Caenorhabditis elegans: one gene and its partner. The protein of the gene in region 1 interacts with the protein of each later gene in a pairwise test. Each region holds a gene or a part of one and is shown in the gene's direction. Other genes may lie near its edges.

Region 1 (7,269 bases):
ACCTCCAAAGATGTTCTTTGAGCTTTAGAACCACACATCAACGCTTACGACAAAATCTAAGAAATAGACTGTAGGCAGGCACGTAGGCAGGCAAAACGCAGAGAGGTATAATTCAGATACCTATGCCTAGAAAATCTTCTAAATTTGCTTTTTGCTCACATTAAGTTTATTTCAATTTCATAGACACCCATTTTTCCTACCTCGTATTTTCGATATTACTTGGAATTCATCTGAAAACGCAAAAGCTCATTAAGGATTCAGAATCTCTTATCAGAATCTCTTATCAAAATCTCTCTCACGAGATAATGAAATCAGCTGCCGCCTCTCTGCTTTATTCTATTTTTCAATCAGCCTTTCCTCGATTCCATCTCAAATGCTATCATCTGCTTCGATTTCAAGTACTTTACGGGTACTGTAGGTTCATCTATAATTCTTGTTCAAATGATGAGCAACACATATTATGCTTGATCTACTGGATTTTCTCTATTAGACGTGCGCCTCTACTGCCTGACTTTAAAGGCTAATATCTCGGTTGTCTTGCGTTTATCAAAAAATTTCAAAAATGCAAATGTAGAAAAATATTTAGCACGTATTTTGTTAATTGGCACTTTTTTATAAAAGCAAAAAGAACCGAGATATACGCTGCCAAAATAGAACTAAGGCGGTGCAGGTATTTTTTGGAAAATACGGTAGGTAACTATTTGAAAAAAAAAATTATTTTCAGACTGTCCCATCATATTAGAACCTGAAAGTCAACTTTTCACAAAACCATTGTTTATTTGTCTCAGTTTCATCAATCCATTCCGTACCTGGAGATGAATTGTTCTCTTCCACCTTTTTTCTCCTCTCCCCCTATTCAGTGTCCACCTTCCTCACTCCAAGTGCCTGAGAGCAGCAAAACCTGCTCCTCCTCTGTGTTAGCCTACACCATCCAGATTGCCACTACAGAGACAGACACACATGGGAAAAGCACAGCTTCTTCTTCTTCTTCTTTTTTCTACATCGTTTTCCTTCATATTCATGCTCAACTGAGCTCATCATTACCTTTCCCATCGGTTCGCAACCACGCCTCTCTTTTGCTTCTTCCTCTTCTTCCGGAGCAGCGACTGGGTGCCTCTTTAAAATCTCCGTAAAATGGACGTCTAAATGCTTTCAAGTGTGAAAGTGACTTCGAGACTTTTAGGTTTGGGTAGATGGCAGTAAATAATGTCATCTGATGCGTCATCCTACCTTTTTGCTACCCTCTAGATTTTACTATTAATAGGCTTAAAAATGCCGCCTTCGCGTGTGCATACCACCAAATATATAGATCTATTTCCACTTCAAATAGCTCTGTTGTCTTTGGTTTTCTTTAAAAATTGTCAACTAACAAAAAACATGCAAAATTACTATATTTTAGTAGTTAAAAAAATAACCGCCAAAATATGGTGATGGGGGTGCACGTCTAATAAGGAAAATACGGTAAGCGTAACTTTGTGAACTTCAAGCACCGAACTTCACGTTAAAATTCAAAAGAATAGACAGTAGGCAGCCTACCTTTTGGAAAATTCTCTGGAAAAATCGTCTTCACAAAATTTCCAAACTATCTGATAACACTCATTCGATGGGAAATTGTCACTTACGCGAGGTTTTTTTTGCCTCCGATTCAGAAAAAAAGTTCCATTTTTTGTTATCATATCATTATTATCAGTTCTAATGGCACATCATGTGTCAAGTGATGAGCACCATAACTTTAAATTTTCAAGGTTTTCGAAATATTTTACTCTTGTTCAACAATTCTTCATTTCAAAATGTGACCGTTTTCTTTCTACACTTATGACACTTTTAATACTGTATCACTTGAATGTCTCTAACTTTTTTTCCATTTTCCTCACAACTTTTCCATTCTTCTATTTTTCTGTAGAATGGACGAGCCCACCTTTTATTACTCCTATATAAAAGCTCTTCTCGGTGCGCTCACCTGGAGCTATGAGGAGAAGAAAAACGGAAAGAATAGAAGAAAAGAAGCGGCAATTTTGTCCCGTCCCTTCTTCCAAAAAGATGAGGACCATGAAGAAGAAAAGCGCAGCACATCCGTCAGAAGAAGACCACAATTGGTGGAGGGGCACACCTCTACTTTAAAATAGCTCCCATTTGCTCGCTTTTACTGGAAACTCTGGGGTCACTGATTTTTTGGATGGTTCTAGACTGTCCTCAAATGTATAATTTCAAAGCTGCGGCAAACTGCTACACCCTGTTGTATTTTCCGTCCAGCAATTTACTTCCAAAAATTCAAACTAAGTCAATAGTTGTTATAGTTTTTAAGTTGGTCTTTGATTATTGAGCAGTTCGGTAAACTCGCAGCCGACCTCGATGGAGTCTCGCGATAGCCTACTCCTGGAAAAAACGTTTGTCTTCTGCTTTCACCTCATGATATCAGGAAACTTATTACAGACATTCAGCCGACAAATAAACGGCTTGGCTTCTACTAGAAATGCTCAATAGATTCTAATTTAGTAGGTGTAGATATTTTCACTTTTGTTTATTTTTCTAAGTATCGAAGTACATATGTTAGAAAGTAAATAAAAATTGCTATTCTACTTTAAGAATTTTCTATATTAAAATAGTCTTTAGTAACGTGGGGTTTTCGAAACTTGCAACTTTTCAAGTGAAGATGCTCCTCACCTGAAGCATCCTGTCACTCTACCGATTGGCTGATGGGCGTGTCGTCTTCCATCTCTTCCACCCGCCCACTTTTTGAGACAGGAGAGGCTCTCGCTCCTCTCGCATCCACAAATGGAAGGCGCCTCTTTCCATCTTCCTTTCTTTTTTTTCTGGTTAGTTGAAGTATCCTTAAAGTATCTTGACGTTTTTACTATATATGACTTCTGGAGAGACATTCGAGTTTTTGGATCAAATATAGAATGTCAAATTTTGAAGAGCAATCTTCTCATATGTCAATTTTTCAATAAAATTGTATCCTACATTGTGGTGGTGTAGAACCCTCAAAAAATAATCTCTAAATTAAGAATTTCTTGATTTTAAAACTGACTAGCAAATTTGTCATGAAAAATCTCAAACGAATTTCCTACAGTTCATCTACCAAATGAATTGGGCTTGTAAACTTTTTCACCATCTACTAAAAAATTCAATAAAATAATAATCTCTTCCCAAACTACACCTCCCTCCAATATCTCTCAGCTTACTCCTAACTCCTATCCCAAATTCGTACATCTACCGTACCATTCCTCCTCCCTGTTCGTTCTCAATGACAAAGCCAGCCTTGAACAGCCATATCCAACTTTTTCGTTGCATTGTTCTCGTTCACAAGATGTATTACTCATCTTTCGCCCCAAAACTGTTCTTGTAATTTGTACAGTTCTTGTTTCTTCCCACGTACAGTTTCCTAAGTTTTCAGGATGAGCATCGACACAGACTTCCTCACGAGTGTTGAGGTAAAGGAGGATGAGCTACATGGAAATGTGCTCATTGCAGTAACTCAAATTGCACTCGGAAGGACCATCGGTGTGATTGATAAGGTGAGCTTTTGGTGTACAATTTTTACGCCGTAGACATTGTCTTAGAGGTGTCCGCTAGAAAAAGAAGTATAAGCTTATTCCCGGGCGTCTAAAAAACTCCACCGGAAAAAATACAGGTCGCTTGAACTGAAATATCTTATAGCTTGAGTAACCTATGAAATAAGCTTTCAGATGTTACACTCATATTTTGTTAGTTAGTAGTTATATGATAACAGTAATTTTAGGTTGTAATTGATAAAATAATGACTTTTTTAAATTAACAAAACTTTTTTTAAAATATTTTTACAAGCATTTTAAATTGATACCTTGGTGCCTAATCTACCTAATCTACAGTACCTTCGCCAACATTTTCAAATCCTTTCCTAATGATTCAACGTTCGAATTACAAATTCTTCCCAGAACCCAAAACCGCAATTATCGGGACCCTGAAATGTTTGGCGCCATGTGTTCCTCCCTGCTTCTTCTCCTCAAAAATTCCTTACACCTGTCTTTCCACCTTTCCCGCTCCCCCCGTCCATTACCACTTTGTTAACCTTGGGGGCACACTAGTAACCATTACATTAGGATTTACAAATCGGAACACCTGGTGCCTTGGTGGATGGGGGATCCGAGATGGGAAAAGAGACTCGATGATCGACTGTAATTGATGAATACAGTCGCTGATGGGAAAATGGATAATTGCTAGGTTTCCATAGGAAGAAGAATTTGAGGAGCTCTATCAATAAAGGAGAGGGATTGAATCCGTTGATCAAGCCGTCAATTTCCTACTGTAGCTGTCGTCGTTATCCAACTTCGTCACAATTCCATCATTGAATTAGTGTATTTCCCCCAGTTGTTTATCATCTAGAGCCGGCGACGGGTCTCTCACACTGATTGGCTTATCACGCACGCACACCACATCAAGCGGCAGTCACTCAGAATCAGAAGCCACTGAAGAAAAAGTTCATCATCTTTTGCGAGAGAGCCACTGATTGCTTATGGTTGCTTGGTGAAGGCAAACCACCTGCTCTCACAGTGGGAAAATTAGATTCCAGAAGCGATAGAGAGAGCGACAGCTCCTGCTTCTTCTTATTAGATATTGATGGGTTTTTGGGCTGAAGCTCACGGAGCACAGAGAGTGGTGAGTTGGCCGAAATGAAATAAGATTTTTTCGAGAATGAGTTTAGAATGTGTGCGATTTGTGAAATAATTGAGGGAGGAAACCCAGTACGCCCAACAAAACCCTTGTTGAGGTACTAAACTGTTTCTGCGAAGATCTGTGGGAAAATATACAGAGATTGCAGGAAAAATAATGCAGTCTTGTAACTGGTGTCACACGGTGTGACGCGCGTGACGTCATCTTTTTCCAGTCCGCAATATATCAAATGAAGTGAAAACTTAAAATTTGGATATGCAGTTTTGAAGAACGCATCGCCAAATACAGGGATTCTTGAAACTTTAATTTTTTATAACTATTCGTGTCCATTTTTTGTAAAATTAAGTCCGAAGAGACATCACCGTTGTCTTACAAGCGGTCATAGAGAAACCTACCCAGCGTGCCAATCGTTTCTTTAATCCATGTTATCACGAGGCCGTCGAAGGTCACCTTTCAGGCAGGCATACATTTTTTTACTACGATTTATGTAGATCCTAGATTCTACACTCATCATTTAGAAAAAGTACTAAAAACAATCACTTACATTAATTTTATAAATATTATTATTTTAGGCTACACCGAATGATTCGAATGCTCTTCTCATCTTGAACCTGATTAAGGAAGCTGATGACGGAGAAGATGCCAATATTTGTATGAGGCAGGAGGATAGAAAGGTGATTATTAGATAAATTTAATGAGGAAGTTATCTAACTATAAGAAAAATTTCAGACTTTTCTACAAACCAGTAAGATTATCAATATTGGAGAGCGTCTTCTTCTACAAAGACTGTCCGAAGAGGAGTGTGATGAGGAGGATCAGGATGATCTTGAGAATTTAATTTTGTTAAAAGATGAAGATCGGTGAGTATGACCCTTGAAAGAAACAAGAAAAAGAGCATGCTAAAAAGGTATGATTTTTCTCACCTTTGAAATTGGAACGATAACTGAACAAGTTGCAAAAACTGTAATTTTCCGGAATTTTTTCTATGATTTGAAGTTCTGTGTTGCTATACATAGAAGGATGTTTGAATTACACATAAAACAATTTCTAAAAAGCAGATTGAGTATACCTTTAATTTTTGAGTTGTTGAGATCAGCGTTAAAAAATTTCAAACCGGTTTTGTCGGTCTTACACAGGCGAATATTCGAAAATAAATCTCGATTTCTAACGGAAAAGTAACGGAAGAAAGATGTGAATCTTCATGAAAATCTTCTGTCATTTTCTTCTCATCGTCCTACTTTCTAACTCCCGTCGTTTTCTCGATAGTTTTCACTGGCGCGGTGAAAGTAACGGATTTCCGATAAGAGCACATCCTTCAGCATCTCCAAGTGAAGCCCGCCCGCTTTTTTTGTGTCCCGTTCATTTACATATAGATTCTACCGCTTCTGGATGACAAATTCGTGTCGGTTTCCGGAGGAGCCCTTTTTTGGGTATTTGAGCCCCTCAAAGGAAATCGTTGATTTATTTTGAGGGGTGTGCATCGGGGGAAGGAAGCGGATCTAGATTTTGCATCTTTTTTGAGAATCAATCGTTTTTTTTGCGGAAAATATAAATTTTTATCTTTTTTTCCGAAATCTTTATATCGCTAACTTAATTTGTGTTATTACCATCTTTTCTATGTTTCTTAAATTTTTAGACGATGATTCCTTGGTATCCCAAAAGTTTAGGTTTCAATTTTTACGTTAGACCTTGAACTTGCCCGATTAGATTTGAAAAGTTTGGGTTAATTTTAATATTTAATAGATTTTTCTAAATCGTTATTCGTATCAAACTATCTAGACATTGCACTTTACACTAGAAAGAATAACACAAAATTCAACTATCAAGTTTATGAAAAAGCTAAAAATTAAAATGAAAACATATTTTTATTTTAGTCATGAACTTTCATTATTCACCACATTAAAAAAGAGTTCTGTAAATTTTAAGAACAAAAATTGAAACTACGGAATATTCAAAAAAACATAACTTCATGCGTGTTTACATTTTTTGATAAAGCCAATAACATCCAAGATTCCAAAACTGCCTAACTTAAAAAGCGAGTAGCCAAACTAATTGTGTTATACGGTTTTGCTATATGATAGTATTAAAAACGTATTATATTTTTTGAGGCACTGTTTTTTAACCTTTCGAAAATCAACCATTTTCAGGCCGGACAGTACTCAAAGCTGCACAAAGAGCAGCAGTGAAGACAGCAATCTAAACGGTTTCGAGGAGTATATTCGAGAACACGGCGAACTTGTACCTGGTCAAACGCCTCCCGACGGATCACACAAGTGTGGAGTTTGTCCAAAGAGTTTTTCAAGTGCAAGGTGAGTTCGTTGAAAAAAAAAGTCGGAAAAGTTATTGGCAAGGTATATCATGCTAATGCACTCTCTCAACTGTTGTATTTTAGCAGGTGTTTGAAAGTGTTTTGTCTATTTATGCGTCTCTGTTTGTATGTTTTCATACCGTAGTCACCCTTCTCTATTCCATTAGAGGGAGGATCATTTGTGGCATAGAGACACGGAGCCCTCTATTTGCTCATCATTTTCCCGCCTTCCTCTTGAAGAAGTGGAAGGAGAAGCTCTTCTATGCTCAGGTAGAATGCTTGAAACCAGTGCTCCAGAGACTCAGGAA
Region 2 (6,149 bases), on another chromosome or scaffold:
AAAACGCCTCTTGGGCTTTTCCTCTCTCCTCGGAGGCCTTTTCGATCTCATCCTCGGTGGCTTCTTTGGCAGAGTCTCCCATTGGCAAAGCCACCGCCTCTTCTGGCTCGATGACTCCCTCGTTGTCAATTTTCGGGAATGGAATCTCCTCCGGCTTCGGGATTTCTGGCTCTGGAGTTGCCTCGGCGGCTGGAGTTTCCTTCTTTGGCTCCTCAGACATCGGGCACTTTCCTTCTGGCTTGTCAGCTGGTTTTGGGGGAAGAGTGGCTCCAAGGCTGAAAATGTGGCACATGTTTGAGCTGAATTTGTACTAGAAAACTTACGAAACAAGGTAATCCTTAAAAAATCCAAATTCCGGGGCGTGCAAAACCGCCGGGTTCGCTTGGCACATGCCAACGAATTGCTTGAGCAATGCGACGTGGTCCATTTTCTGGAAGGTAAAAGCTTTGGAGTTTATTTTAAATCATTTAAAGGAATAGGTTAAGAATCAAAAAATAGAGAATTGAAGTGTTTATTCAATTTGTTTGGAAGTGTAAACAATATTGCAAACAGCACGTGATGCCGCCAGAGGTGTTCCGACTACGCAAAGAGGGGATTTAAAGTGAAAAATAGATAAATACCTGATAATTTAGATCAAAAAATTAGAATAACGCCTTTTAAACCAAAAAACTCCTTTGAATTATCGAAAATTCTAGAAATTCTCGAGAAAAATAAATTTCAAAACAGGCATATTCTGTGCATTTGCGCGTGGGATCTAGCGCCCGTTGTGCATTGCGCCATGGCATTTGAAATTGGCGCCCGAAAATTTTTTGTTTTATATCAATTTTTTGGCTTATCGATAATTATCCTTGAAATTCTGCAGAAAAATAGATTTTTCTGTAAAATTTCGCAGGAATTGTATTCAGCACGTAATGTGCATGGTTTCCGTGGCAACTTGGGCGCTCTTTGCTTCTCTGTGCTCTATGCTCATGCCGCAACTCGAAAATTCGAATTTTAATTCTAATTGCCCTCTGTTAACCCTCTTTTTCCCGCCGGATAACCTCCAAACTATTGGTATCTTGTCGATGAATCGGTGAGAAAAAGTTCCGAACAACAAGAATTCGGGATGTTGTTCTTCCTCGCGTCTCCACCATCTCCACACACTCTCACGCGGTTGAACGGACAGTCAGGACACCGCCGCGCGGGGAAACTGCCCGTTTTGGTCGTCTCTTCTGCTGTGTGTGTCTACTATTCAAATAAACTCGCCAATCGATCGCCATTTCAGTTCATGTGCGGTGAATAATGTGTTGTGAAACTCGTTTTTCTCGGGAAATAGCCGAGAAAGGCTGAATTTTTGCTTGAGAATTTCTGGAAGGCATGAAATGTTTTCAGCTCTCTTCGAAAATCTTCTACCGCCCACCCATTTTCCTCCCGAATTGTTTCGTCCCCGTGACTCATTCTCTCTTTTATCGCCAACTTCTCACTCACTGATAATCGATTTTCGTTTTCATCCCGTCTTCTCAATTTTCCAATTTCAGCTGTGAGAAATGGACGATTTGGCTGATTGTCGTGAGGTTTTCGCCTATTTTGACAGCAAAGGCGACGAGCGAATCTCTGTTCAGCAGGTTTTTAATTCAATATTTTACTTTTTTAATCCAAAATTCATATTTCAGGTCGGTGATGTGCTCCGCGCGCTCGGCCAGAACCCAACAGAAGCCGAAATTCACAAATGTGTCGGCTCGTTCGATCGGGAAGCTCGGCTTTCATTCGAGGACTTTGTCCCAATTTTCCAGTCGGTGTCCAAGAATCGGTTCGTGGCGAATTTTCAGTTAATAAATTTCAATTTCTACATAATTTCAGTGAAAAGCACACCGTTGAGGAGTTCGTCGAGGGGTTGTCGCATTTCGACAAGGAGGGAAACGGAATGATCAATGTCGCAGAGCTCCGACACTTGCTCACCACTCTTGGTAGGATTTTGAGTGAATATTATCAAAAAATTAATATATAAGTAGCTTTTCAAAAATGTTCTGCTGGTCTATACAATTTTAAAGTTTACCCCAATTTTATCAATTTTTTTTCAAGGAGAACGCCTATCCGATGAAGACGTCGATCAATTGCTCTCCGGACACAACGATTCTCACGGAAACGTCAATATCTCGGATTTCGTACGCGCTGTCATGAACTCCTAAAAAATAATCGAATTCAGCTGATGTAAATATATCATTTCCATTAATTTCCTCGGCATTTTCCACACAATCTATTTATTTATCGACTTTTTTGCATCCGTTAATTCTATTTCTTATTCGCTCTCTCCCAGTTCACCAAAAAAAACTTGCAACGATTCAGTGAACAACTTTGTATCCTCCGTGTTTTAAGATGAATTTTTCTAAATTTTAATTCTAATTTCATAATTTTTGTATTTCGTGTTACATCTCACATGATATTTCTGTATTTCCTCTCCGTTATTTTTGTGGGGAAATCCATATAATTGCATTTTCAGAAAGAAAAATGGCAGATACAGGAGAAAAAGACACAGAAACGACGGCAAGTGGTACCGATGGACACAGTAAAGAGGCGCTTGCTGTAATAAGCATGCTCCACGAGTGTGGAATTCAAGAGTTTGATCCACGCGTCGTTTCAATGCTTATGGATGTGAGAAAATACAAAATTGAGCTCTAAAAATTCAAAAAATAATGATTTTTTCCAGGTTCAATACGCAGTGACGTCAAAAATCCTCCAAATGTCAAGTGGACTGTCCAGGCATGCTGAAAAAGCGCAAATCGAGGCAGAAGACGTTCAAACGGCGGCCGACATGCTCGGCGTTCTGACCACAAACGCTCCGGACCGTGAGAAGATTCTGCAATTGGCGAATGACAAAAATCAGCAGCCCCTACCGCAAATTCGACACAATTATGGCCTGAAGCTGCCCAACGATCGATTCTGTCAATTACAGCAGAATTTTGTGTACAAAGCTGACGACAGTTATCAGCCGTACGTTTTTTTTCTCGATATATCTTGAAAAATCTGTAAAAATTTGATTTTAAACGGAAAGAAGGTATTTTAAAGTGGAGTACGACCAGTGGGGAAACTATTAAAAACCATTCCTATGGTTCAAAAATGACAAAATAACAATAAAAACTCACAATAGAACTTTTAAAAAAATTATGATACTTTTCCTTTTTTACACCGCATTTTTAAATGAATATTCAAAACATTGAATTATTCAAATTTAATTCTCACGTGAATCATTTTCAGGCTTATGGGGTTATTCAAGTAATGTAGCAAAATGTATTTAAATACATTTGTGACGTCACAAATGTATTTAAATACATGTTTTTATATACTTGAATACAGTTGTGACGTAATTAATCTACACTTTTTAATTTTCCGACACTACTTGAATAACCCCATTAGAAAACAAAATTACAGAAAAAGTTCACATTTTTATCCAAGAAAATGTTCCAGAAAAATGCGGGGTAGAAAAGGAAAAGTACCAAATTTATAGAAGATTTTTTGTTTCAAGTAAAAAAAGGTGTTGTTTGGAGCCACCTTTCGAGAAATCGAAAACACTTTCGCATTTTCGTGCCCCCAAAATAATTAAATATGAATGCATAAGACATGGAATAAGTTTTTTTTAATCGATAACTTCCAAAAACATTTGTTAAAAACTAAGTTTTCACCGCTTTTTGAGCCGAAATATAAATTTTTTCCGAAATTTTCATTCTAAAAATTTACAGAAATTCTATATTTAAACTTGTCGATTTTCAATGCTTTTTGTGGCTACTGTCAGTTTCATTTGAAAAATATTGATTCAAATTTGCATTTTCATCTCAAAAATTGTTTTTTCGAATCAAAAATACAAAACCTTGACACAAAACTAAAAGTCACATATTTTCCGACAATATTCCATTTAGTTATTGTTTTTAAATCTTTATGGCATGCGTTTTTTTTTTCTGTAGTAAAATGAAATTATACATATCAAATTCAAAATTTTCAAGTTTTCAGAATGGAAATGCAACAAGTCACCCATCAGCCACATATCATCGAACCACCAACACAAGTGCTACGGCCGGAGCATGTACAGAATATGCTCAAGCGAAGAGCTCCAGACGATGATTTTGACTCATAACTTTTTAATTTTGTTTTTTTTATGCCATTTTCTACTTTATCTAATCAATCCTGCCAATGATCTCTATGAAACCCAGATTTTTATTTATAAAATTCAAAAATTTACACAATTACAATTCAAAAACAATTCAATTATCCCCTCCACCTGTCACCGCATTTTTCAGCTCACTCGTCGACTCGACAATTTTGTTGGCTGCCATTTTCAAATGATCGTAACGGCTAGCCTTACGCATTGGCGGAACCTGACCAGCTTCCATGTACGTTTCGGGTGCGATTTCCGGAGCATCCACGTGTTTATTGTGCTCGGCGAGCAACTGCTCAGCTCGGTCGATCTCCTGTTTCAAAAGCTCGACGCGTTCTTTGTTGGATTGCGTCTCGCTTTCGATTCGGCATTGCTCCTTGCAGAGGTCGTATTCGGAGAGCTTCAATATATCCAAGTTTTTGGCTAAAAATTCAAATCCTACCTGCTTCTGGGGCGGCACCACCTTCTGCACGTAGATAACCTTCTGTGCCCTGAAAAATCGATAAAGATGGAAAAATCAACCAATAAACTGGCTCACTTTGGTTTTTTCGACTCTCCGAGGCTACATACGGCTAGCAGAAAAACTGCGAGAAGGAATTTCATTCTGAAAAACGACACGAATTAAGTTTTAGCATTTAAAACCCCGAAGAACTTTCCAAGTTGAAAACAGTATGAAAAAGTAGGTCTCTCAGTGTAGGCATGAAAATGCTTGCCTGCCTCGTGTCTACTGTCAAAATACATGTAATTAGAAAGTAAAATTAGAAACGCGTAAATCTATGCAAACACCGGACACTTAATCATCACAGAAATCAGACTATAGGCAGGCAGGCAGGCATTGAAGCTCACTCACGAAAACTTTAAAAAGTTGAATGAAACTTATCTCCTCACACCCTATTTATAGATAAAAATGCAAAACAACAAGCACCAAAAACCGTATGACCGTCACCAATTGACGCAAACCGACAAGACATTGTGTGCTCTGAGAAGACGCAGACCTCACCACGGGGTTCAGGTGATAAGGCTTTTTAGGGAATTGTTTGTGATAGTGAATTAGGGAATCAGAAAATATGTTTTTTAAACTTGTTTTTTAAAAAAAATCTGAATCGAAAGTGCAACAAAATTTGAAAAAGCATGGAATTTATTGATTATCCCCTCCAAGCGAAAGTAACACTCGAGACAAAATGATAAAATATTAATCGGTATAAAATGGATATTTGGGCGCAAATGAGGCTTCACCGAACTGTGCTTGCTCCTTCTCCTCTGATATGTCACTGGCGCCGAAGAATGATTCTCTGAAAAATTTCAGGGAATTTGTAAAAACTATAAAAATTTTAAAAACTAAAAAATTGCGTATTGCGCAACATATTTGACGCGCAAAATATCTCGTAGCGAAAACTACAGTAATTTTTTAAATTACTACTGTAGCGCTTGTGTCGATTTACGGACTCGATTTTCGGAATAAATTAAAATCAAGCAAAAATGAGAAAATAATACGAAGAAACGAAGGAAAATGGAATATCTCTGACATTAAATATTTGTAAAAAAATTCATTTAGACAATCAAGCCCGTAAATCGACACAAGCGCTACAGTAGTCATTCAAAGAATTACTGTAGTTTTCGCTACAAGATATTTTGCGCGTCAAATGTACGCATTCCCTGAGTTTTGTGTTCCCGTAATAGAAGTAAAAAATTGTGGCAGCATATTTTTTTTCCTAAAAGGATAGTGCAATAGCTGCCAGTCTGGAGTATCAGTATGCGCGTAAGATCTGGCGAAAATGCGCGTAAGATATGGCGAAAATTCTCATCTTTAGACGTCTACGTAATACCAGAAAATCGAAAAATGAAAGTTTAAGTCCCCAATTTTAAAGCACCTAAGTTTTTGCCCGAACTCACTTATAATACGGGCTCGGCATTGTTGGATACAGCTCGCTGAGGATCGAGGAGGGCATTCGTACTCGTTTTCGAGCTGACAATAAGGCTTCCATTTCGTTGCCGAGTTCCTCCACCAGCTGACCACTCT

The links. The genes of interacting proteins can lie anywhere in the genome.
Region 2: the proteins of egl-43 (region 1) and taf-9 interact in a two-hybrid assay, tested with the Caenorhabditis elegans proteins (one large-scale study listed by BioGRID).

The regions. Positions count from the first base shown.
Region 1 is NC_003280.10:9,951,788-9,959,056, forward strand, and holds the start of egl-43 (Zinc finger protein egl-43), read left to right. Parts: upstream 1-3,397; 5' UTR 3,398-3,398; coding exon 3,399-3,518; intron 3,519-5,223; exon of another isoform or gene 5,224-5,225; coding exon 5,226-5,327; intron 5,328-5,382; coding exon 5,383-5,513; exon of another isoform or gene 5,514-5,560; intron 5,561-6,800; coding exon 6,801-6,962; intron 6,963-7,269. UniProt on the Caenorhabditis elegans protein: Probable transcription factor, required for migration of the hermaphrodite-specific motor neurons (HSNs) from the tail to the gonad primordium during HSN cell differentiation. Required for phasmid neuron development.
Region 2 is NC_003281.10:13,621,797-13,627,945, forward strand, and holds taf-9 (Transcription initiation factor TFIID subunit 9), read left to right. Parts: upstream 1-2,479; 5' UTR 2,480-2,487; coding exon 2,488-2,631; intron 2,632-2,686; coding exon 2,687-2,970; intron 2,971-3,984; coding exon 3,985-4,108; 3' UTR 4,109-4,211; downstream 4,212-6,149. Other genes in the region: hip-1 (STI1 domain-containing protein), read right to left, coding at 1-275, 324-427; mlc-5 (Myosin-2 essential light chain), read left to right, coding at 1,527-1,604, 1,653-1,789, 1,840-1,946, 2,062-2,168; T12D8.5 (uncharacterized protein), read right to left, coding at 4,236-4,529, 4,572-4,620, 4,668-4,732; arrd-17 (Arrestin domain-containing protein 17), read right to left, coding at 5,322-5,421, 6,023-6,149.